Linked DNA regions of Neodiprion lecontei. The protein of the gene in region 2 purifies or fractionates together with the protein of the main gene of each other region. This does not show direct contact. Links are inferred from orthologs where the notes say so. Each region holds a gene or a part of one and is shown on either strand. Other genes may lie near its edges.

The links.
Region 1: the proteins of apoptosis-inducing factor 1, mitochondrial (region 2) and thioredoxin-2 purify together in Homo sapiens (affinity purification with mass spectrometry; 3 studies listed by BioGRID and IntAct, with this or other methods). This does not show direct contact. The link is inferred for Neodiprion lecontei from reciprocal best matches to the Homo sapiens genes AIFM1 and TXN.

Annotation. Positions count from the first base shown.
Region 1 is NC_060262.1:7,921,198-7,932,972, reverse strand, and holds thioredoxin-2, read left to right. Parts: upstream 1-5,035; 5' UTR 5,036-5,203; coding exon 5,204-5,227; intron 5,228-10,222; coding exon 10,223-10,339; intron 10,340-10,437; coding exon 10,438-10,551; intron 10,552-10,668; exon of another isoform or gene 10,669-10,669; coding exon 10,670-10,732; 3' UTR 10,733-11,088; downstream 11,089-11,775. UniProt on the Homo sapiens protein: Participates in various redox reactions through the reversible oxidation of its active center dithiol to a disulfide and catalyzes dithiol-disulfide exchange reactions.
Region 2 is NC_060265.1:5,859,440-5,871,455, reverse strand, and holds apoptosis-inducing factor 1, mitochondrial, read right to left. Parts: upstream 8,693-12,016; 5' UTR 8,620-8,692; coding exon 8,529-8,619; intron 8,152-8,528; coding exon 7,844-8,151; intron 7,754-7,843; coding exon 7,699-7,753; intron 7,489-7,698; coding exon 7,340-7,488; intron 7,280-7,339; coding exon 7,149-7,279; intron 7,060-7,148; coding exon 6,884-7,059; intron 6,800-6,883; coding exon 6,608-6,799; intron 6,434-6,607; coding exon 6,237-6,433; intron 6,146-6,236; coding exon 5,893-6,145; intron 5,752-5,892; coding exon 5,567-5,751; intron 5,450-5,566; coding exon 5,177-5,449; intron 5,087-5,176; coding exon 5,015-5,086; 3' UTR 4,460-5,014; coding exon of another isoform or gene 4,343-4,459; 3' UTR 4,255-4,342; coding exon of another isoform or gene 4,039-4,254; 3' UTR 3,955-4,038; coding exon of another isoform or gene 3,777-3,954; 3' UTR 3,477-3,776; coding exon of another isoform or gene 3,160-3,476; 3' UTR 3,086-3,159; coding exon of another isoform or gene 2,735-3,085; 3' UTR 2,655-2,734; coding exon of another isoform or gene 2,458-2,654; 3' UTR 2,383-2,457; coding exon of another isoform or gene 2,058-2,382; 3' UTR 1,881-2,057; and 1 more. Other genes in the region: protein broad-minded-like, read left to right, coding at 2,058-2,382, 2,458-2,654, 2,735-3,085, 3,160-3,476, 3,777-3,954, 4,039-4,254, 4,343-4,459; uncharacterized protein LOC107221093, read right to left, coding at 9,013-9,063, 9,150-9,364, 9,443-9,595, 9,723-9,726; T-complex protein 11-like protein 1, read left to right, coding at 10,941-10,951, 11,162-11,281, 11,448-11,561, 11,656-11,950. UniProt on the Homo sapiens protein: Functions both as NADH oxidoreductase and as regulator of apoptosis.

The DNA.
Region 1 (11,775 bases), on a different chromosome or scaffold from region 2:
ATGATGATACTTTGAGATTGGATTCGAATGAAAATTGGTAACGTAAGGTTTTTGGGGTTGTTGATCACGAATCTAAAATTAGATACGTGAAACACAAAATGGAGAATCTGATATTGTAGAAAAAAAATCTGAAAACATTCGGATTTTGTTAGTAATTAGTAGCTGGAGGATTTTTGGGTTACCGATAACGAATCCAAGGTCAGATTTCAAAAATTGATGTCACAGTGGATCCATTGCATTGGTTCAAAATAAAATCGTAATATTTTCATGTAACATGGTATCCGAGGGCCTTTCAATCTCTAATCACGGATTTGAATTTGTAGTTTGAAATTCGAATTTGATATCAATATTTTTTTGCTTTGTGAACATGGAACCTACGCTGTGAAAACCGGTAGTTCGAAGGCTGGCTTACGTTCAGTCTAAAGCGGCACGTTTTTTTTTTTTTATTTTAATATTTGTGTTCGACATTGCATGTATAAAATTGCTGTGAATATAGTTTATACTGTCACATCAACGATGTGTAGACTTTGATAATAGGAAGAAATTTTCTTGACTGTGGTTCAGTGATATAGGAAGGATAAAAAATCTTACTTATCCTTCCTATAGTTGATAATAAGTATCGCAAGTCCTTTCATTTCATTACATAGTTTATTGGATCGTTGCATGATAGAATACAAACAAGTCACTTTGTATGATGATCTCAGTTACAGTTATCTATAGATATGTTTGGTGTGCATCTTTCGGTGGGCGTTTTGTGCAATTCTGACACGGCTTCGTCGCGTGTTCAGTAACCTTTGTGGATATCATACTGTTAATATTACCAAATGCATATTCTGACGTGTACCCCTCTACTACACGATGCTATTACGTATATTACGTGAGTGATTTTGAACAAATCAAATGACCTCAGACGTAAAGAATCTTTTATTATGCATGTAACAATGATAAGGGAAAACTACAAATCATTTTTACGTTTCAGACACAAAATTTTTCATTTACTGTCGAGTAAACTTTGTAATAAATGTAAAATTTATTCTTTTGTATCTGTGTAATCTGTGGATATAATTGTTATATATTGAGAACAATACACAAACTTTAATCTGATTTCTGCACTACCTCCGTCAACGACTCGACTACTTTTTAGTTTTTGAGTACTAGTGCGTTAAAGTCGACTTTTACGCACTAGTGCTTTAATAAAAACTACAAAGTAGTCGAGTCGTTGACGGAAGTAGCACAGAAAATAGTATTTGTGGCATGTGCGCATATACGAGTACACCGAGAAAAGAAGTTATCGAACCAAACAACTAACTTTGTTGATCTACAGTTTATTTGGTTCGAAAGATTTCTCACTCAGAACAACTACTTTTTAGTTGAAACAAAAATATTGATGCATTGATTTGAATGCTATATATATGCTTTCGAGTTTAATGTATTTCAACCAGTTACATATTTATTACATTGAATTAAACTAAAAATTGCGGAACGACAACTTTGCTTGAATCAACAAACCTTATTTACTTCGTGAAAGAATAGTACTTTCACCGCTGAACACATCGATTCAAAAGTACCGAGAGATTAGAAACAATAATCCCACGCTTACTGATATATTAACGTTATTGCCAGATAGTATATTTGACTCAATGTAATATTTGTCCGACATATTCAATGATAACTACAATCAAAGAAATGTACAATATGTTGAAACAAAAATTTGTTTCACAAGACAAGTTTTAATATTCATTTAAGAATATTATTTTGTTCATCAAGTTATATATATATAGCAACTTCAAATAAAAAAAATCATTCAAGTAAATGAGGATATGTTTGAGTGGAACCAAGAAAGAGTTCTTGAGTTGCTATATGTACCACATTTAATTCAAGTTATCGACTAATACAATGAAATATAACTTTTCTCAGTTTGAAACAATCACATGTAGTTGAAATCTGCAAATATATACTTTAAATTGATTTCAAGAACTCTCGATACTTGCATACGCGCTCGAAACTAATGAATCATTGTTTCTACGAAATTAACATTATTTCACTGAAATAAAATTTTTGTTGAGTTGATAGTCTTCTGATTCTTTGTGTGCATGTTTCGTGTTTTTCAACCGAAATGATAAATTCATTCGAAGTGGTACCAATTTCGGTCAGTAGTCAGCAAGCTGTCCCGCTTGATAAGTAGCTTCAAAGTTTTTCATATACCCGAATCCTTCGCATTACGAATCTGCCAACCATATGTGATGCGATCTATCGGGCTATGGTTTTGATCCAATCATGTTTTCCAAACACTACTTAACTTTGGAGTGACGCTACTACAACTTGTTTGGTGGCAGTCAATGACAATAGTATATCGTATGAAGAAAATTTTTTTATTTATGTCACCCAGCAGCTAATTAAAACTACATTTACATATATATCCTAGAGCACTGCATTACGTGTTCGCAGAACTGGTATAACACTCAAATACTGAAGGAATCATTGAATCAATTAAATACATTATTAATCCAAATATGGGGTTAGTCGTTGTGATTTCAGTTTTTTCTATACGATGCCACTTCTTCTTTGAACGGAAGAATATCCCATTGGTCCTTGTAAACATCATTTGAGTAGAGCATGCAGCACTTGGACAAAAATATCAAACCTAAAGAGGAACTCCTGTGCGTTATGTCGCTTAATCTCTACTTAATTCATTTAAATTATTTTTTATTGATTCTAAATACGTATTTTTTAAATTAAAAACTACATGAATTGTGTCGCTTTGAATAAATGTGCTCTAAGTACTTTACAAACTCATGCATTATCTGTATCAATTAATATTTATTAAATCCAATAACGTTTTTTTTTAGTCTATGGATTTCTTGACTCGTATGAGTTTCGCACTTGCCTTTGGCTTGCGCGGAACTTGACACTCTTCAAAGAATCTCTATTTATGCGCACTTGCCACGAAAATAACTAATTTAGTTCAGTTGCGTTCACGCGCGATTCCTTTTAATTCTGACCGTCGGAATTTTCTAGAGGAAGAAATAAAATTAGCGTCGGCGACCTTCAACATAGTACTCTCCCCAGCTTATTTCTGACCCGCTGAAACATTTAAGGGCGGGGTCAGAATCGACCGTATTGTACGTCTCTGATGTACAATACACACCTATTTGGAATAGGTAGGAATATATGTATAATGCTCGGTCTTGGTATCGCAATCGCATGGCTGACTGGTGGGTTCCTAAATCTGTGATGATGCCGAGTTTAAACCGTGGCGGCTAGACATGATGCGTCAGAATGACGTGTCTAGTATCTCTCACGCAATAATCGTAATCGAACATGTCGTCATGGTGTGCAATAGAAAAAATCAACATTAAATACAATAGCTGGATGCTCACATAGTTCCAAGAGGGATGATATTGTTTTATAAACAAGTGAATTTTTACAAAAGTGCACAACATGAAAAACATCCGCGTTCGAAAGTATACGGCAATAAAATTTATCAAAGGATGGAATAATTGCTAAATTAATTCATATTTTATTAACAATATGGTTATACTGTTGTCTAATCAGCCTTATGCTTGCGATATTCGATATCGTTTTTCCACTGTACCCAAGCTAGGTAATCGTATGCGGTGCGATCATTGATGAATGTTATAACGTTGTCATTCTTACACATAAACACATTACATGAAGAACGCACGCATGAACATTATTTTTCGCATACACGCACATTCGTATGCTTCTGAAACCGGAACCTTACTATACACGTCTTACAATTAAGTCATACTTGTAGATAGCTCTATATAGCGCTGGCGGTGGGTATCCTTGAGACTTCCCACCATGCTTGAGGCTGCGGTCTCATGACGAGAAATGAGCATAACGTGGTCAAATAATACAGCCAATCATTTACAGTCTTTTACACTGAGGAATAATTGGCAATTGGTTACTATTCATTCCTTTGCATGATACAACGAATCCTCACAAACAAAAGCTTCCGAGTTACCGAAAATGTGAGAATCAAAAAAAAATTTATTTTCCCAATATGTACTTTCTCCTTATTTTCAGGAATCTTGCAATGCAATTAGAGAAACTAATAAATATGTTCTATTGCTAATTCGTTTATCAGAAACAACGACATATTCAAATTCTTGATCAATTAAGGGGGTATAACTGTGGAGATTTTGTGATGCGTAAGATATCAAAGTCCAAAAGTTTATATAAATTTATGTAAATGAGAAATATTTCTTTTGAATGATACTTGTAAAAAATTTTAATGATATAAAGTAACGGTATTTTCAAGATCATACATGCTGTGTACGTGAGGAACAATTATTAACAATTCCTGCATGATACAAAAAATAACTAGCAGTCTTAGCTGAATTCGAAGAATGTTTGAAGGAATAGAAAAATTCGACAATACTTTCGTCGCGCGACAAAAATTCAACAATGTGAAATTCAAAATTTCTGAACAATATCGCAGAGCAATCACACAAAATGCTCTGTTCCAAGTTCACAATAATCCGGAAAGATCGATCCATTCCAGATTCTATGGCAAAGAATTATACAAATCCTAAGAAATGAAAATATTGCATTATTATTCGGAAATTCTTTTATTCTTTTCAGTTTGATTGTTCCATCTTTCCTGTAGATATACAGTCTGCATTATTCGGAATTCTAAGTTTCGAATAATCGGTTAACTTGAAGGGAAATTTTTTCCGGAAGATATTGCAACAATTCGGTCCCTCGGTCATTATATGATTCACAATGACGTTCCCGCTTCCACATATGAAAAATAATAATCAAACGAAAGTGTATTGAGAGTGTGAAGGAAAGGCACTGCAGGTTCAATCCCAAATAATGAAGCCGGAAGTGACACCGTATGAAATAGTGATCAGGAATCGCTGAATGTTTCACGAATGTATTGTACATCGATTTTGTACTGATAACAATCCATTTATCGGTTCGGGTTTCTTCGGGAATTTTCGGAGCCACCTTCCACTACCACGTCGTATCCGCGACAGTGGCGTCACCGATACTGTGGCGGTATTCGTCGTTTGATCATTGGTCTCCACTCCCCAAGTTTTGCGTTCACTTTTTAACTGGGCAGTTCAGGTACAGCCTTCCAGTGCTTGTATATCGCGAGTTAGTACGAAGTTACCAAATCGAGTGACCGCATCGCGAAGTACGCCGCAGGAAAGCAACTCGTTCATCGTTAAAAATGGTTCTCCAAATTACTAGCTCGGTAAGTCCACTCCCTTTAACAATAAGTCAAAAATCGGAAGAACGCGAGAGAGTGAGAAACAAAATGAATACAAGTGACATGTTGAACGAGAACACTAACCAGATGAACAAGTTTAACCTAAAGATTATTACGCTGGTGAAGAAATAGGCGGGCGGATAACCTTGATAAGAAATAGAGAAGGAAATAATTGCTGCGTGGCGTGTTAGTTGTAGCTGGCAGAGTGACCGATGGACGTATGTCTTATTCCCGAAGTTAACCAAGTCCAGCGTTATAACCGTTATATCTTTAAGACTGTGCCGATTTGTAAAGAATATCACACTCGGTTGAACGCGTTCGTAGAGTGTGCTCTCAGTGCACACAGGTAGAAACTTTAAAGCCTAAGTACGCATTAGTACAGCACGTTTACGCATCCGAATTGTTTATCTGTTGATAATTGACCAACTATCTGAGCGATATCATTTGATAAAATGTCGGCACTCCTCTTCGCACTATTGCCTCATCAGGCTCACATACAACTTCGGCATTTTTGCCGCCTCTTTTCGGCCTCTTTTATCCTTCTCTTCGACTTTCGCTCCTCGACCGCCCGTATCACACTTGCTTTTGCAATATTGATCACACCAGAAATCGCGAGCCAAATAATTACGAATTCGAGAAATGTGATTCTCATTATGCAACACTATGCTCGGACATTCGTTTTTGTCCTTAGAGTACGTAGTTTATGCAGTACACTCTACGCAATCTGCAATTCGTCGGCTTAAGTACATGTAGGTTTATCGACTATGTAGTTCGCAATGCTCGATGCAATGTGCCGGAAATACTTTATTGATAACCGGCAAACAACCGTCGCTGCGATTACGAATGAAAACAGGCGTGATTCTCTAATTAACTGAACTGGATGCGTCGCTGATTTATCATGTTGAAGTTGGTAACGTTATCGTAACGATTTATGCGATTCATGCGAAGGAAAAACCGTCATAAAACAAAACATAATCATACTTCATGACATTGTAAAAATAAGAAAATAGTGATTTTTTCCCTATTGTTTCCTTAGGAACTTCAACCTTGTGATAATCTTGATTTTTAATGAACATAATCTAGCTCTTCGATGATATAACTTGGAATGTAGGTAGATTAGGAGTCATATTCACTTACGTAACAAATGACGATGAAAATAAATTCAAATACTTTCTTTATCACCGCAATGACGAAATCTATGTTAGATATATGTGCAGACGGATTGCAAAAAAGCGGAAAGACGATTGTGTGCGTTAGCTAATTTTCGCCCAGATATATTGTAACTATTTGCTATTTACCGAATTTTCGATATTTCGGTATCGGTATTGACAGAAGGTTCCCATACCGATACATTTCGAGCAAGGAGATGCCAAAAAAAATTCGGTATACCGAAATACCGCGCACCCCTAATTGTAACATGAATTGGCTCACGGATTTGTTTGGTTCTTTACTTTTCTCGTGACCCGGTGATTTGATGCACCTTTTAAGGACGTGCCCTTTAGTCGATTTCGACGTTGTCGTATATATCTCCAAATATCGAAGTCCACGTGTTTCAAACGCGAAAAAGAGCTTAACAGCCCAATTCTATACACCATTCTGAACAAAAACACTCGAATACATTTCACAATACAAATGGCACGGGTTTTACAAAATCGAAGAAATCGTAGAAATCATACCATTCCTTTATTTTTATGTTAAATGAAAATATTTTAGAATGGTTTTATTCAGAACTGTATGTAGAATGGGGCTGTTATGCCCTTTTTCACGTTTGAGATACGTGGACTTGGATAATTTGAGATGTATACGATAATGTCGAAATAGACTAGGGAACTTCCTTAATTAAGGAGATGTAGGAGTTAAGAAACAACGATTGAAGCGATTACAGCGTCACCGTATTCTGTTACACCGATTTTGTATCCATATTCTACATACAGTAAGTATCGAACATCTCTTAATTAATAGCGGGCACATCTTTATAACGGATGTTCTTAAAAAAATTTCCAGCAAAATGTAATAGTAATAGAACGGAAATTCTTCCGAATAGCAGATGTTGTCATCAGCGGACAATACTTTCATCCCCAAATAGGTTTCCGCTATCAGGAAGTTTCACTGTTTAATTCGTGTTTTAAATCATGGTTTAAAAATGTACTCAAAAATAAAAAGACCTATTGAATTTACGGCAACAAATCCTTTCTCCGTGTAGTATACAATGGAAACGTAATAATTACTTGATATTCTCCGCCTGTCTTACGGATCATGTCAATCGGTTATGTTGGGCAAGGAAAGTTGAAATGTATAAATACTTTGTTCACGAAAAATTGCATTTTCTTGACTACGTGGTAATATAATCTGTATCTCATGGAATACAATTCAATACTATTCATATTACGTCAGGTAAGGAGAATGTACTGCGGGGAACTAAATGTTTTCGACACCGCAAGAATGACTTGTTGGAATAGCGTTAATCAAAGTACAGGTCAACGAGATAGTTTGTTGTCATCTGTTTGAGCTATATATAGAGCATGCGTGTACAATGTTATATACATCTCAATTAAGAGTAATACATTCCGCGGTCTATTGAATCTTTTTCACAAACTACGACACTTCGCGCAATTCACAAAACCATGACCGCGCTATATTCCTTGGGGGGGGGGGTATATATACATGTGTGTGATGTAATTCGGTTGGCATAATCGTCAAATATCTTGATAAGGATTTGGAGCAGTTTTGCCAAATTTTCGAGTATGAAATTTGCCAGATCTCTTGGAGATGTTGTACAATTTTATCTGAAATTTTGAAGAGACTTATTACATTTTAGCGAAACCTTACAAAAGTACGCAACAAAATCTTGTACAGTTTACCGAAATTTTTTAAATCTACGAATAGAATTGTTTCATTGAAACTCAGTAACATTTTGCACAGTTTCGTGATATCGTATCCTATTGAAGGTTGGCTGAAAGTTTTATCGAATTTTACGTTATCTTAAAAAATTACATGAAATTTGACTTCGTATCACGTAATCTTGTCATGTATTTAGGTAATATCCAAACTTGAGATAAAGTTTGAAAAATCATATGAACTTTCAGTAATCCTGCAATCGAATGAAATTTTATGATGGTCCACGCAATTGGTCCAAGTTTTAATGTGTAACACTAGGAAGGTCGACCCCTTCGATTTTGATCTAGTTCATATATGTTGTTGTTGTGCACCAGAAACTGAGAGACTCATATATTTTTTTATCTGCTAATAAACGGTTTAGAGGGATACAAACAACTCCCAAAGATGGGCACCTAACGGGGTGATTTTTGATGCGCTTGATGGATTTGAATGAAACCAGCGGTGAAATGTTTTATTAAGGAATCGAAACATTTCAGCATTGGTTTCATTTAAATCCATCAAACGCATCAAGAAATCACACCCATTGGGTGCCCAATTTTTCTAACGTGTCCATGACTTGCAATAACGATGTTTAGTTTTCAAAAGTCTGCAATTCTGATTATTCAAACCTGTTAATATTACAAAACATTTTTGAGAACATAGATAAACAATATTTGATTGATGAATAAGGACATCACTAAGGCAATTGTCAATTGTTGGACTTTAAACACATTAGCAAGTGTCTAGTATCTAAAAAAGAACGATAACACATACTTTTTATTTGTATTGCCAGACAGAAGTATCTGGGTTGTCAAAACTATGACATGAAATCAATCGATTCTAATGACTGTGAGATACTGTTATATATTTATGTGCGATAGAATTTAGCAGGTACTGAAAAGTTGAGAGGTATAAACTATTTATAGGTTTTGTACACTAAGCCGAGGTTTTAGAGTCTGACAAAATGAATGTATTACATGCACAATTATATTACTGATAAAACTGGAATAATTTGTGAGAGGAAATTCAATACCTATACATACCTATTTATACAAATTGAGACGCCACGTTATACCCTCATAAATTATTCCAGAACTCTGGCATAATAAATTGTTTCGTGCAGAAGCGTGTTTTCACGTAATATACTAAGTCTAAATTACCTGGAATATTTATACTAAACATGTCATTTTTTGCCATTTAGTAACAAAATCGATATTATGATTGAGCTATCTTCAACGTTCTATAATACTATTAATAGGACTACAAACCTTGATTAACATACCCCACGACAGAGTAGGACTTGGCCTTGTTTTTCCTGGTTGCCGTGACAACATTTTGTACATATAAAAATTTCCTTGAAGAGAAACAATGGTCATGTTAGTTCTTCACTGTTAAATCAGCATATTGTCAAAGGTGAATTCTATGACCCATAGTTGATATACTACAATATTTAGTACGCAATTCATTTAATTGTCGTCTTCTGAGCTCATCTTACTTTCCCAATTTTTTTAATACACTCGACCTGCATTCTTTAGTTGAAATTAACTGGCAGTTTTATTAGGATTATGTATTAATATTCGCTTGCACGTTTGTATACACGTGTTTAAAGTCCGCACAATTAGCTAATTTAATGTTTGTACGACTTTGCCTGCTTAAATTAATTACAACTTGGGATAAAGGAACATTTGAAAAACAGTGGTTTACTTTCGTCAAGTACAATTGTTTCGAGAAATTTATCATGTTGAAGTTAGTAACCTTATCCTAATGATTCATGCTAAGGAAAAACCACCATTTCGCAATTTTGTTATTGTTTTCAATTCAACGAATCATAATAAAACATAACAGACTCATATTTCAATATCTTAGTTCCTTCAAAGTCATTGTAAAAATAAGAAAAGAGTGATTTTTTCCTCAATGTTTCGTTTCTATAACATTATTAACTTCAACCTCGTGAAATTGAATATTGTTCATGTGTTAATATAGTATAGCGAGACGACTCTTTACAGTTCAGTTATCGTGGTGTTCTGTTCATGAAAATAATTCATTTCTTATCGAGCACTTTTTTCTTAATAAACTAAATCAATTTCTCTGCTCTATTTTTAGGCTGATCTCAAGGCCAAATTGAGTGAGGCTGGAAATACGCTGGTCGTCATAGATTTCTTTGCTACTTGGTGCGGACCATGCAAAATGATTGCACCAAAGCTCGAGGAATTGTCCAAGGTAAAAACAAAATGCTAATTGCAGATGGACATTGAATTTTTATACAATTCCATTTCAATGTGAACTTGTGCAAATTTATTTTCCTGTTTCCTCTCCAGGAACTCAATGACGTTATCATCCTCAAAGTTGATGTCGACGAGTGCGAGGATATTGCCTTCGAGTATGAAATATCCAGCATGCCCACCTTCGTTTTTATAAAAAATTCTGCTGTGGTAAGAAGCTTCTCACATTATTTTTTTCTACTCTGAATATTTTCTACTTCTGTTTGCGCCGCAAATTACATGCTGCATGAAATATTTGTTAATTAAATATCGCAAATTATTGTTTCAGCTGGAGTCATTTGCCGGTGCTAATTTTGACAAACTAAAAAACACCATTCAGAAACACAAGTGAAAATCTGTGAAAAGAAATCTATTCCATTATTTTTAATTGTAAACAATGCTAAACACAAATAATTACATACATATATATGTATACGTATGAGTATATACAAATATATACATGTATATATATATATACGTATGTATATGTATATAGAAATCAGAAATTGAAATATTCCGCTCATTTTTAAGCTTATTGTCAGTGCGTCATTTGTCGACGAAAAAATCCAGTAAAAAACTGTTGTGCTGTGCCGTCGCACAGATATATTATTATTACATACCAATCTGTATACAATAAACAGTTTAATGTTCAGTTTTGTTATTACTGAAGTAGAATGAAAATAAAGGAAAGGAAACATTGGAATTTAATCATTGATGCTGTAATTATGCACTTGTATCATATAATCATACTCATCAAGTATTATGATTATACAATCATCAGTAATTTTTCAGCCAAATCATTTTCATTCGCTTTATATCGGCCTTTTTATAAAATTCATTGCAGTACATAACACTTCGATTTAAGTTGCTATCGAATATCTGTCCGATTTGTCTACAAAAAGCAATTGTATTTTATGATAGAATACAATACAGACGGTAGAATATATTGGTAATATAAAATAGGTGTCAGATTTAGTTGATTAGTTATGACTGCGATAATGCTAATTAAAATATTTTCTGTCACTGTGTTAATGTAAGGTAACAAACCAAGGAGAATCCATTTTAGAACAAGTTCAATCCATCCGTTTGTTTTCAGTAATTTAGTAAAGTTTTCTTAAAAAAAAAAAAAATTGATAAATATGTGATTATAAAAGTTACAGAAAGTGTATGATCTGTTTTTTAGTAATTGTACTTAATTAGTTGACAATACGCGTTGATTAATACGAATCACAAGCTCCAGATACAAAAATGAATTGACAGATAAATGAACAAAAGAACACTGTTATCGCAGTAAATGATATCATTTATAAATATGATGAAAAAACTCCATGTAAATCATGTCGACTGCGGTTAAAAATGACACACAAACGAATTCGTAATAATCTGTTTATTTTT
Region 2 (12,016 bases):
TATGATCTGTAATTTATAACATACGTTAGTTTATCGTATACATTGTATAATGTTCCCTTAAAAAATAAAGATTTGTATTTCTTCATGATACTTGTTTGTCCTGTGTTACCATGACAACTGTACCAAATATAGTAATATGGTGAATGGTATCAAAATGTGTGGGTATCTCCTACTGAAATAGTCAGTGGTATCTCTAATGTTGATTTCAACTTTGATTTTAACTATCATTGTTTTTTAATCTCTGAATGACCGTGCTCTGAATAAAAGCGTGCATCACACACTTTGACAATGGAAAATATGCCACTGCCCCTTCGGAAGTGGATAAACGAATGTGTGAAAGAAAAATTCGAAACCACTATCGAGGAGGGGCTGAAGAAGAATGAAAATGCGCACGAAATTGCTCAAGATATGATTCAATCTAAGGAAATGACAGAACTGATTGCCAGAGTAAAGTCAGTCATTGATGAGCGCTGCTTGTCCTCCAGAGCTAATTCTGTAGCTATAAATGAGGCGCGACCCGAGACGTCTATGTCTATTTCCAGCGATTTGTCTGGCGAGGATTGGGGGCCCATGCGAGCAATTGGAAGTGACAATTTTACCTATATTGTGAATAAAATTAGCTATGAAAAACCAATCCATGTCAGACTAGCAGGATACGAAGCTTTGACACGAAGCGAAATAACTAATATTGGGAGTAGTCAATCGTGGGAATTACTGTTGAAAGCTTTGAAAGATGGAATCGTTGATGAGAGTCAGCCTATATTTGAGGCAAGCTTACAGGCTCATGCTCAATTATTAAATGGGTCTCAGGCACAGCAAGATGTCTTAACAAATTTGCTAAACGCATTCAGTGCACTGTATCATTCGAAACGGCTACATCATATGTTGCCTACATTTGTGTCTGGTATTAATTTCAAGATAAACCTTCATGAGAAATTACTTCGTATAATGCACTTGATCATTCAACACCAGGAAGAAACTTTGAAAAGCAACAGAAACACAGAAAAATTGTTAGAGGAAATGATGGAACAATTTCTAGCTTTTCTAAGTTCTCATACTTTTGGTATTAGCAATCAGCTGCATATCCTGACCACGCTCAATATCTTGTCAGTTTTGGAGCCTAAGTCAGACTGGTCCAGAAAATGGGCTCACAGCTTAACAACGCTGAAAATATTAACAACTGCTCTAGGAAAATCCCCTGCATTGTTACAAAGCATCATCTATATTGTAAGGGTTGGTATGGTAGAATCGCCAGCGGCTCTTACGGCACATATTAACGATGAGCCATTTGAAGTAAATATCTCTGGAGACACCGTCAAGACTGTGACGTATCTCCATTCTCTGTGCTTTTTAGCTCAGCTTTGCAGCAAGGCTGCTGGTCGACTGTTACTGTCTGAAATTCAACTGAATGACCCGTTCAACGTCCCTGACTTTATGCTGTCTCTGTTGAATTCGTTGAATATTTTAGCACTTTCAGAAGTCCCAGCAAGCATTTATGATATTTCTCGCTCAGCTTTGCAGAGGCTGCTCGATTCTCCATCAGTTTTATATGATGCTAGGTTTTATCAACTAGCTCTTGATCCGTTATTGAGAGTACCACCCCAAACTGAACGTAAAATACATCCTCACATGATAGATGTGATGATGCGAGCCTTGAATACGGAAGAAGGTTCGCGCTTTATAATCCATAACTCTAGTGCATTCTCATTGAATTGTAAAGAAAAATCGACTGCTACTTGTCCAGCAAATGCAGTTTTGGTATACGCTGCAGATTTGTTGCGGCAACCACTTTCTATTATGAATACAGAGTATGTGATTGATTTGCTTAAATTCATAGGAAGATTATTTGAGTGTTATGATGTATGTCACGTGGTAAAATATATTTTACAAGATGAATTTTATTCAGCAATCGCCCATCTGTACAACAAAATGGATAAGTACTCGATGGAAAATGAAATGAAAAAGCAATCTCTCGATAGGTAGGAAAATATCATTTGCTCTTAATTTTAGATAATGTTTCCTTCATTTCATTTTTCTTTTACAGAGCAATTAAGACTATGCTGCTTAAAGTGGTTTCTCTACCTCTCGCTTTACAGTTATTGACTCGTGAGGAGTCAGTTTTTGAAGAACTGTTGCGAGGCTCAATAGAGCCACTCAAGTCGTCTTGGAGCTGTAATAACGTTGTTGCTGTTTTGTCCACTGCGGCTTTGGAGCCAGTGGGTTTTACGATCTTGAGAGACCTAGCCCCTCACTTCTTATCAAAAGTATTAACTGATATTTGCACAAAGTTAGAAGATCCTCACAATTTTCATGATCCTTGGGAAGATTGTGTTGTAAAAGAGTTTTTACACATCCTAAGACTATTGTCGTTGAACAGCTTGTGTACGTTTAATCAGCTCTTACGTTATATTAATATTCAAATTATGCAGAAACCTATTTTTCAATAATTTTTTACAGGCTTCATCGCTCTATTGGATGATACAAGTCAAGAAATTTCATCTAGCGAAGACAGTCACCCCAGTAATTTATGGGAATTATTACAACATTCTGTAAACTCTAATTCACCATATCACTGCCTTGCGCTTATGGCGCTGAACGTTTTCCTCGATAGCTTGGATGCAAATATTTTTTTGAAGCACGTACTGAATTATCAGGTACGAATTATAAAAGAATTCAAAGTATCTACAGCTTGATTTATGCAACAAATCAATGTGAACTTTTGTTGTTTGTAAAGGAACTACTCCTCAATCTTCAAGAAACGTGTATCATCGAGATAGAAAGCGATGGCGAACTTAAAATAATATATGCAATTGATGAGGCAGGTTTCCTTCGCCACAAAGTACTTTTGAAATCCTATTGCATTATAAGTAAATTCATTGGTGATACAGCAGTGCTAGAGCAGACAGAATTGTTTTCTAAATTACCGCCTCCTGTGAAATTTGATGTGGAAAAACTTTGCCCCACCATACCCTTACATTCAGAATTAGGAAGATTTCTCCAAGAAAATAAGCCTGGACTCAGAGATAATGGATGGGTGTCACAAGCGAGGAAAGCTCATAAGATTTCTAGTAAAGAACCAATACAAGTAAGCATCAAATTTCAGCAGATAAGAGTTTCTCTTTTTCAGATCTGATGTTAAATTTTTTCAAATATGTTTAGCATTCCGTCGTGATTAATCTACTTGATCAAATGCAAAAGGCAGTTCCTGAATTAGAATTGACAAACCATTTCGAGTGGCCAGTGCATAATGATCACGACACACTGATGCCCCAAGAAGTTTACGGCATTGAATTAACTTTGCTGTACGCAGAACAAAATCGGCTTATGAAAGTTACGTCACTTGCGAAAACAAACTTGAAAATTTTCTTGAAAGAGGTTCACGGATTCATTAAGTATTACGGGTGGAAAAAAAATTTTGAAGGATTCGACTGGTTCATTGCAAGTGTTTTTATTATTTGTAATGGAGATATGGACAGGTGAGCATACGCAATTTTTAATTTTGTTGCCTCAGGTGGCCGCGAATCACGCTTTTCAGAAGTAAAGTTCTGTAACTAATTGCCGCAATTTGTTAAAGACCTTGTACTTTCCATAAAAAGTGACTCTAGCAAACCATATTTCATCATAGGCAGGTCTCAGATTGAAAACTTCACCGTCATTGCAGTAGCTTGAAAGTTACGTGGCTCAGTTTTAATGGATCATCACTGACCTGCCAAAGTTAATGTAAAAATCAAAACCAATTTTACATCACTTTCCTAATGAGTTGTATACTTTTCAAGGTGTAAAACTTTCATCACGCAAATAGTTCAATTCCCATCGATTATGTACATTTGGCCTATGCTAGGGAAAGCTGTGAGTCGTGAACAGAATTTACCTGTAAACTTTCAAACCACATTCTCACATCTCCTGGAAAATATCGTTGCAAATGAATTGCCTAGCATCAAATACGCTTTAAAGGTTTTTGTCTTAACATAGTGGATTTTTCAAAACTCAGACCCGGAATTTTTCTTAAAAATAATATGTGTCTGTCAAATTTCACAGAACAACTGCGGTACAGACTGGTGGATTATTTGTGATGAAATCATATCTCAATGTTTCTGGAGGATACTACCATGGTGCGAAATCATACATTTGCTAACCATTTGTATTTTGTATCCAGCTGACTATCCGTTGTATTACTGTACATCGTTGTTACACTACAGTCAAAACCAACTTTTAGAAGATGTAACGGCTGGAAAAATGTGGCCAGAACATATGGTGCGTAAAATTATTCTCGTAGCTTAAAGCAGCGAGAGTTTTCAAAAATCACAGTAATTTTATCGTACATATGATTTCAATGTTACAGGATTTAACTGACTATCGATCTGGAAATCATTTACAATTGATGGATCTTTTATCGAAACGGTATCGCAATATGACTTTGCCCCTGCTTACATACCAAGAGGCAGCGTTAGTTACATGATTTCCTATCTAATTACCAAGACCGAACTTCTTCCAGAAGTAATAACAAGTACTGCAATAAGCACAATACTTTAATATGACAATCATTTAATTAAGCACAGTGTACGCAGGAAATTACAATAAAATGTATGTTGATTACTGTTACTACTGCATAGTTTTTGCAGGTGATGAGAGTCACTAAACAATTAAAACCAGAATATTTACTTAACGGTGAATAAAAACTATCATCCGTATTCACCATCAATGATGTCCTTTATTTTCTAACAATGTGCATAATTTAGCGTTCGATATTTATATATTTATTGTAATATAAATGCACATAGACTTTGTACGATTGCGAGAAAATGTGACAATTACCCGGGTTTCGGATAAAACACTAACTTCCTGATTCTAAGAGAAATGATATCTACAATATTTTATGTTTCCTAAAGTTTATCTGTCAAATCATTAGAGATCGTACCTTAGTACAGGGTGTAAAATACATACAAGAACTAGATAGCAAGTAACACGAATATTTACAAACAGTGATTCGATGGTAAATGCAACTTCAGTGCCATCAGTCTTCGTGAATGCTAAACAGTTTAGCTACCTCGTTCAGATCGTCGTACCTTGTTCCACTAGCCAAAACCTGGAGAGTTAATTATTCGTTTTATCAGATCCCAAATATATCATGCCCACTGGAAAATGAGCATAGAAATCCATGAAAGTAGTAGCCTACCTGTCGAGCAATGGACATGCGATTGAATATGTTCCACAAGACAATGCCGACTACGACGTCATCGCGTATATAGAATATAACTCCCTTTCCAAAGTCGTCACGGGGCTTCTCTACTTTATTTCCTCCCTCGTCTTCACATGATTTACTGTCTTTTTTGTCACTTTTGACATTCTTTATAGACTCTGCTGACTTCAACCCTTCTACAGGTGCGTGCTTCTGGGATACCGGTGTTGCTTGTATAATTGCTGCCGATTTGTTACCCTGTGAATTGTGCTGCGGGAAGAATATACAATTAAACTAAGAACAGTAAAAATTGCTTACAATCATAATGCAACATGATGTATGATATTTCGAGATAAACCAAAGATAAACCAAACTGCATATTTTCACCTCTTCACTAACTGATCTCAAACCCTCGTTGGATGCAGTGACAGCAGCAAGTGGGGTGTCTTGATCCGTTGCCTTAGCAAAGACCCCTACTGTTGGTAAGGATGCGTCAACGATCCCTATTGCTTCGTAACCAATTTCAGGTCCAAGATCTGACCAGAACATGGACTGATGCAAGTAGGGTTTACCTGAAACAGGACGCAAGTTTATAGATTCATGCTCTACAAGTTAATCGATGAGTACTGCTATTTGATTGGTATAAGTTGCAGTAAACGCTATTTCTGCTGTTATTAAGCATCAAATCTATGGACAAAGAAAACTTAAACTACCAGCGCCAGTCATATTTTCGCCTGCTAATCTTCCAGATATAACAGCGTGATCGTGATGCTCAACTCGCCTTCTGCCCAATCTCACGTCATAGAAACAAGCTGCATCCCCTGCGACCCATAAATCGCTCCTTGCTTCTAATTCAGCATTAACAAGATAACCACCAACTTTTGTGTCAATTTCAAGATTAGAAGATTGAGCTAATTGAGTATTCGCTTGCGCACCAACTGCTACGATTACTTGATCTGCGTCAATCTGTTAATTACAAACACAGAAATTCCCAGTTACAAAAATATAAATCTTTAGTCATTATGCCCTTCATTTTGTAAATTAAGGATTTACTCACTTTGGAACCATCTGTTAAAATTAGTTTCAAGTGCCCACCCTTCATTTCGACATCTGCAACCTCAGTTTCAGGCATACATCTCACTCCTTCGAGCATTGCTTTGGTCGTAGTCCATTCACTCAAGTATTCAGGCAGCACTTGAGCCATTATGTATTTTTCTTTAAAGATCTGATGAACCGTTTTTTGGTCTGGATTTACTGCAAAATTCAAAACTCAGTCACCAGAGCATTTTCACGATACCTGCCAGGATTATTCACACACATTTGAGTCCATTTGAATTTTTTTCCTTTCATTAGATAATCTGTAGCACCAATCAACTAAAAAATGGTTGATAACCGAGTTGTGCAACGAAGGTGCAGAGTAACACTTACAGTTTCTGACCAAAGAACACGCAACTTCGGAACCAAGGAATCCTCCACCAACAATAACTATATTCTGTACTGCTGAATCACGAATGCTCTCCTCTAGCTTGAGGAAGTCTTCTATTGTTCTGAATGGTACGATCTTACTTTTAACTGCATCATCCGCAGTTTCAAATATTGGAAGGTTCTTGGGCGAGGCACCTATAGAATTCATTTTTCATTGAATTAAATATCACGATAGAATACTTAGTATATAGCATTATTTGTTTCGAAAGGTAAACACACCAGTGGCTAATAAACATTTTTCATATTTTATTTTGTGACCATCTTCAAGTACTGCCGTCCTATTAACGACGTCAATTTGACTAACTTTCCATCCTAAAGCTACGCCGATACCTCCTTTATGTGATTGTGCTAATTCTGGAACAGGAGTGTAAAATTCTGGAGGCTCATAGAACAAGCTGGGGAGAAAACGAGTGAGTTATTCAATTGCATGGTAAAAACTGCATTAAAGCTCAGATTATCCACCGGATCATAATATTGTGACTACCTTCGGTCTGACCCGTTCCATTGTTTGAATTTTAATTTCTCTGTAGTCTCTCTGTCTTTGTTATACCAAAGCTCTTTGGACAACGGGGGCCTCATGTAGGGGAGGTCCCCTTCTTCCGTTACAACCAGAACCTAAAGTAATGAATAGTGTGAAATAATCCAATTCTTATGAGAATCTGTAGAATCAACTACCTTTGCTGTGGGATCTCTTGATTTTATAGACCTGAATGCTGAGAAAGCAGCTGTTCCTCCCCCGATCAAGAGGTAAGGAATTTCTGTTACTATTTCTGAAGAGACAGCTGGAATCTTAACTTTCTTTCTCTCTGCTTTTTTCTTCTTCTCTGGGAGAAAGAAATATAAATTGTAGTAACTACTCCGTAGACCAATAATAAAATTTGAGTGGCAGATAAGTACTACACTTTTATCTCTACCTTCTAGTTCAGTAAACTTATTCATTTCATTAAGGCCTAATCATATTTTACTGAGTGATAATAAACTGGCTCATTTTGATATATTATGTGCAATATTAGTTATCACAACTCTAGTCTTACTTTGTTTCGGTATTTGAAGCGTTTCAGATGTTTGCAACCAGCCCATTCGATTCACCTGCAAAAGCATTAAGAATTGTAATTTCTTCAAATAAATATTGCAACTTTACTTCCCTAAAGTGAAAAGTTTCTTTCTCAATATAGTTACCATGTACATGGTGGCTCCAGTGATGAAGAGAGCAGCCAGCAATTGCATCCATACCCGTTGCTGCTTCTTGCGGTTGCCATCCTCCTCGAATGGTTCTGGCCTTTTACCACAATCCCGGTTGGGACTCAAAGGGCATTCAACATTCGGATCGATTGGACAAACAGGATCTGAGGAAAATGATCCCTTCGATTTCGACTGATTTGAAGGAATGCATTCTTCCGCTTTCAATGTAGTGCCAGGTGGTCTGTTAGGATTACCCGGCTTCTTATCACCGGCATCGCTGTAGTTTCGACTGGCATTTATAATACCTGAAATTTTTTATGTGCAAAAAAAAATTAGAAACTAAAATGATGTCTTACTCACGAAATCTACTGAAAATTATATTTGAATTGTAGGTTAACTGAAGTCAAATAATCGCCGCAGGGTGGTTCAAGGTGTAGGGAAATCAGTGAAAAATCTGACACGATACTTAGTTTTCTGAACGAAAGGAGGACAGTTAAAAATATTCGTATTTTCTTTCTGATTATTTGTACAACTTTAGGACTCGCTTATCATCGACTACTAAATGTACGTGTTAAAATCTTCGAATAGTCTAGAAAAACATCACGGTGCCGCATGAGGTTTTCGGAAGTTATTCGATAGACTTTAACTTGACAATCAAATAATTTTTTCGTTTTATACTCACCGATATATTTTAAAGGAATCTGCTCGTAGCTCAGGCATGGTTTTCTTGTAATTTTTGATAAATTCTTGATCGCGTACCCGTATCTTAACATTTTCACAAATTACTTTTGGTGCTACGGGCGCGCGGCCCTAGACTCTAAGGGCAATATGGCGATAATCCCGGTTATAGTTAAATTTTCGATTTGTGCCTCTGATGCCGCCACCTGTGACCAACACGCTAGGAACTAAACATATATTTTTTCGCTCCGCATTTAGACAGCGCTCTGTCTTACCGAGCGGACCTGGACAGAGAATCCTAGAATTTAAAAAACTTGGGGGACATGACGTTAACATTGTTTATAGATTAGATATCGCATTTTATCCCTGCAAGATGTAAAGAATACGATTGAAAACAAATAACGTAATGAACATCGACTAATTCAAGAGATTTATTTATTGGAGTGCTACAGAAACAATTCTTGTTCCAATCGTTTCTCAATACTTTGTCAGTAAAATAGCGGAACATTGTATCCTCGAACGTATCCGAATTTGTGCATCTGTGAAAATAGAAATTAGAGTGACACTTTTATGATTAAAAGGCATAATTTAGGTTGAGATTTCAGGGATGCATTGACATTCGTACAGCTATTATAGTGAATATGAAAAATCCTCCTCCGATCATTAAAGCTCTATTAGACTGCCTCATCTTCGTATCAAACTTCTGTTGCCACGATCCACAGGGAACTGGCAATTCGTCCATTAAACAAGTATTTTCGCACGGCTCAGGACATTGAATTGGTGCATAACAATCTTTCGAGAGCAATACTCTAACTGCCCTCAACTTCCGTGGAAATTGTCCTAAGATATGAAAAATGTGACTTTGTTGACAAAAATATAATTACATATAAAAGAATAGTGATCGATTCTGAGATTTACCCAGTATCATTTTTCTGGAATGAAGAATTCCAATTTTGCAGCATGTAAAAGTTGCGCCACGCCACATCACACGTAAAATGTACGCAGCAACTTTACGTTTACTGTTTACTGAGGCCCACGTGTTAATGTCTTGACCACGTTTAACTCGAGGATCTATATTAGAGGATCTCGTATTATATAGGAACAGACTTTATGGAGATTGAGGGTCGACTTCCCAAGGAAGAGGAAAAATAAATTCAAGGAAAACTACAACGGTCCAAGCTGCCAGACGTTCTCGTACCCATTTTGGGAGAATATAAAAATGAAAATCAACGAGTTGCCACGAGTGAAAGACAAAGGAGTTGCGCAGGTGGGTGTCGTCTGCTTGTCGGCTGCTGCAGGCTGGTGCTGTCAATAAATATTGGCCAACTTCACTTTTCTCCATCAGACTCCAGTCGCCTTCGCTGCACTTCACAGCAGTCACACGAGCCCGCAGCACTCGTAGCAAGCTTCAAAGTTGTAAACAGTATCACAGCTGTTCCGGACGTAATTAACCATTTTTAACTTGTAATTGGTGTTTGTTTCTGAATTCCAGTAAATTAAAAGTGTTTTATACCCATATAGACTGCACCACTATTTCAAATATTTTTCGAACAATCTGCAGTAAAGGTACAATGCCGATGTTACTATAATTTTTACTTTTTTTTCGTTGAATCCTTTCAAGGTGAATGAATCATTTGAACGATGTGTCATTCACCTGCCGATACGCAGTTAGTAGTGATATAGGTACTGCATTAAATTGTGATGGAATTTTCTAGAATAATTTCAATGACGCATCATTATTTCGGTACTTATCTAAAATTTACACTTTTTTTCGTGCTTTTTGATCCCAGTTAAAACTACATCTTATCATGAATGTTATTAAAAATGTAACCTCAAGATTTACTTTTCGTGTTTACAAACAGATCAATACATCCTCATACTTGTTATATACATGGGTTTACAAAGTGTTATCTTTGCCTGCTAAACTTCTGTTGTCCGTGTTACAAAGAAAAAAGAAAAAAGTCGTCAATTCTACATTGATTATTGATTAAGTGATTGCATGTTAATATTCATTGTATTGAAAAATAAATAACAATTTCCATATCTTATTTAAGGAAAATCTTTTCTCTCCCTATTCGTTTAATTCAGAGTAAATCATCATTGTGTTACCATTATTTATACACACTTAAGTTAGTGAATAAATTAAATAAATTTATGCAAACAGTTTTAATGTCTGACCGACAAATTGGAAATAGGAATTAGCGATCACAAGGAACAAAATAAACACTCTGGAAAGTGGCTGTGTGTTTCCATACTGTCTTGCACCAAATGAAGTTCTTTTTATAGATAGCGTCTGACCTCTTTGGCTACAGCTGTTAGAGCATTCAGCTAGTGGTCGAATTTTACTTCAAACCGCGTTGCTTCTAATTTCCAAGTGTTTTGTCTTTCAATTTGAATTTTAAAGTTTGATAGAACAATGTTAGACAGGTGTGTCAATAAGTGAAAAATTTATCCTCAGACCCCAGATTTATTAAGTCTATCGCAATTGAAAATTCTTTACTAGTCCTAACATTAGAGTAAAGATTGTCCGTTTTAATGGAATATTTAACATAGATTTGACTGTGACTCATTTGAATTTGATTAATTCTAGATTGCCTTTCGGTAAGATTGTAATTTATTGCCCTATTTGTACTGCAGGTATAAAGTTTTACGCAGTGCTGGTGTGGTATGGGGAATTACGATCTGTTGTCTCTTGTTCAATCGCAAATTGCCAGGCTCGAGGATATTCTTTAGTTTAATCCCTGCTTTTCTTTGGCGGTCAGTACTTAAAGCAATTACTGCGATATATCTTCGACACTTAATTGGTGCAAATTTTAATAGAAATCAAAAAATTCATGCAATTAATATATATTAAAAACCCTTGAACTGTTGTGTGTCTAAACTTAATTCTGAACTTTAATAAATCTCAGACTTTCTGTTACAGAGGTGATAAAATGAAAAATGAAGAGGAGCAAAAATGTAATAATAACCAGGCTAGCGCGCCAGTAGAAACTCGTGTGGACAATCAAAGATCAGCTGAAAACAAGAACACGCAACAGTGAGTTTATCAATTTAAAATTCTAGTGCCTAGTGCACAAGTTTTTAAACAAATCATTTGAAAAGAAAACTCAAAAATTTTTTCTTCAAAATAGATCGCAGGTACAAAACTTTATGCTTGGAGGCCTAACCGGGGCATCTCCTCCGAAATTTGTGTCCTTTGAAGAAATAATGAAGGCAGCAAATGGTATGACCAATATGGCCCTAGCGCACGAAATCGCTCTTGATAAAAATTTCAAATTGGAAACGCTGGATCCACCAAGTGACAGCTTTCAAAAAAAAGTTAAAGAAACAATGCATAATATATTCTGGCAGCTGTTAGCCCAAGAGTTGGCCGAGGATCCACCAAATTTTAATCAAGCATTAACTCTTCTTGGTGAAATAAAAACGGTAATTCAAATTTCCCAGTTATCAGCTTTCAAATAGGTCTGAATAGAATTTGCATAAGTGTGTTAA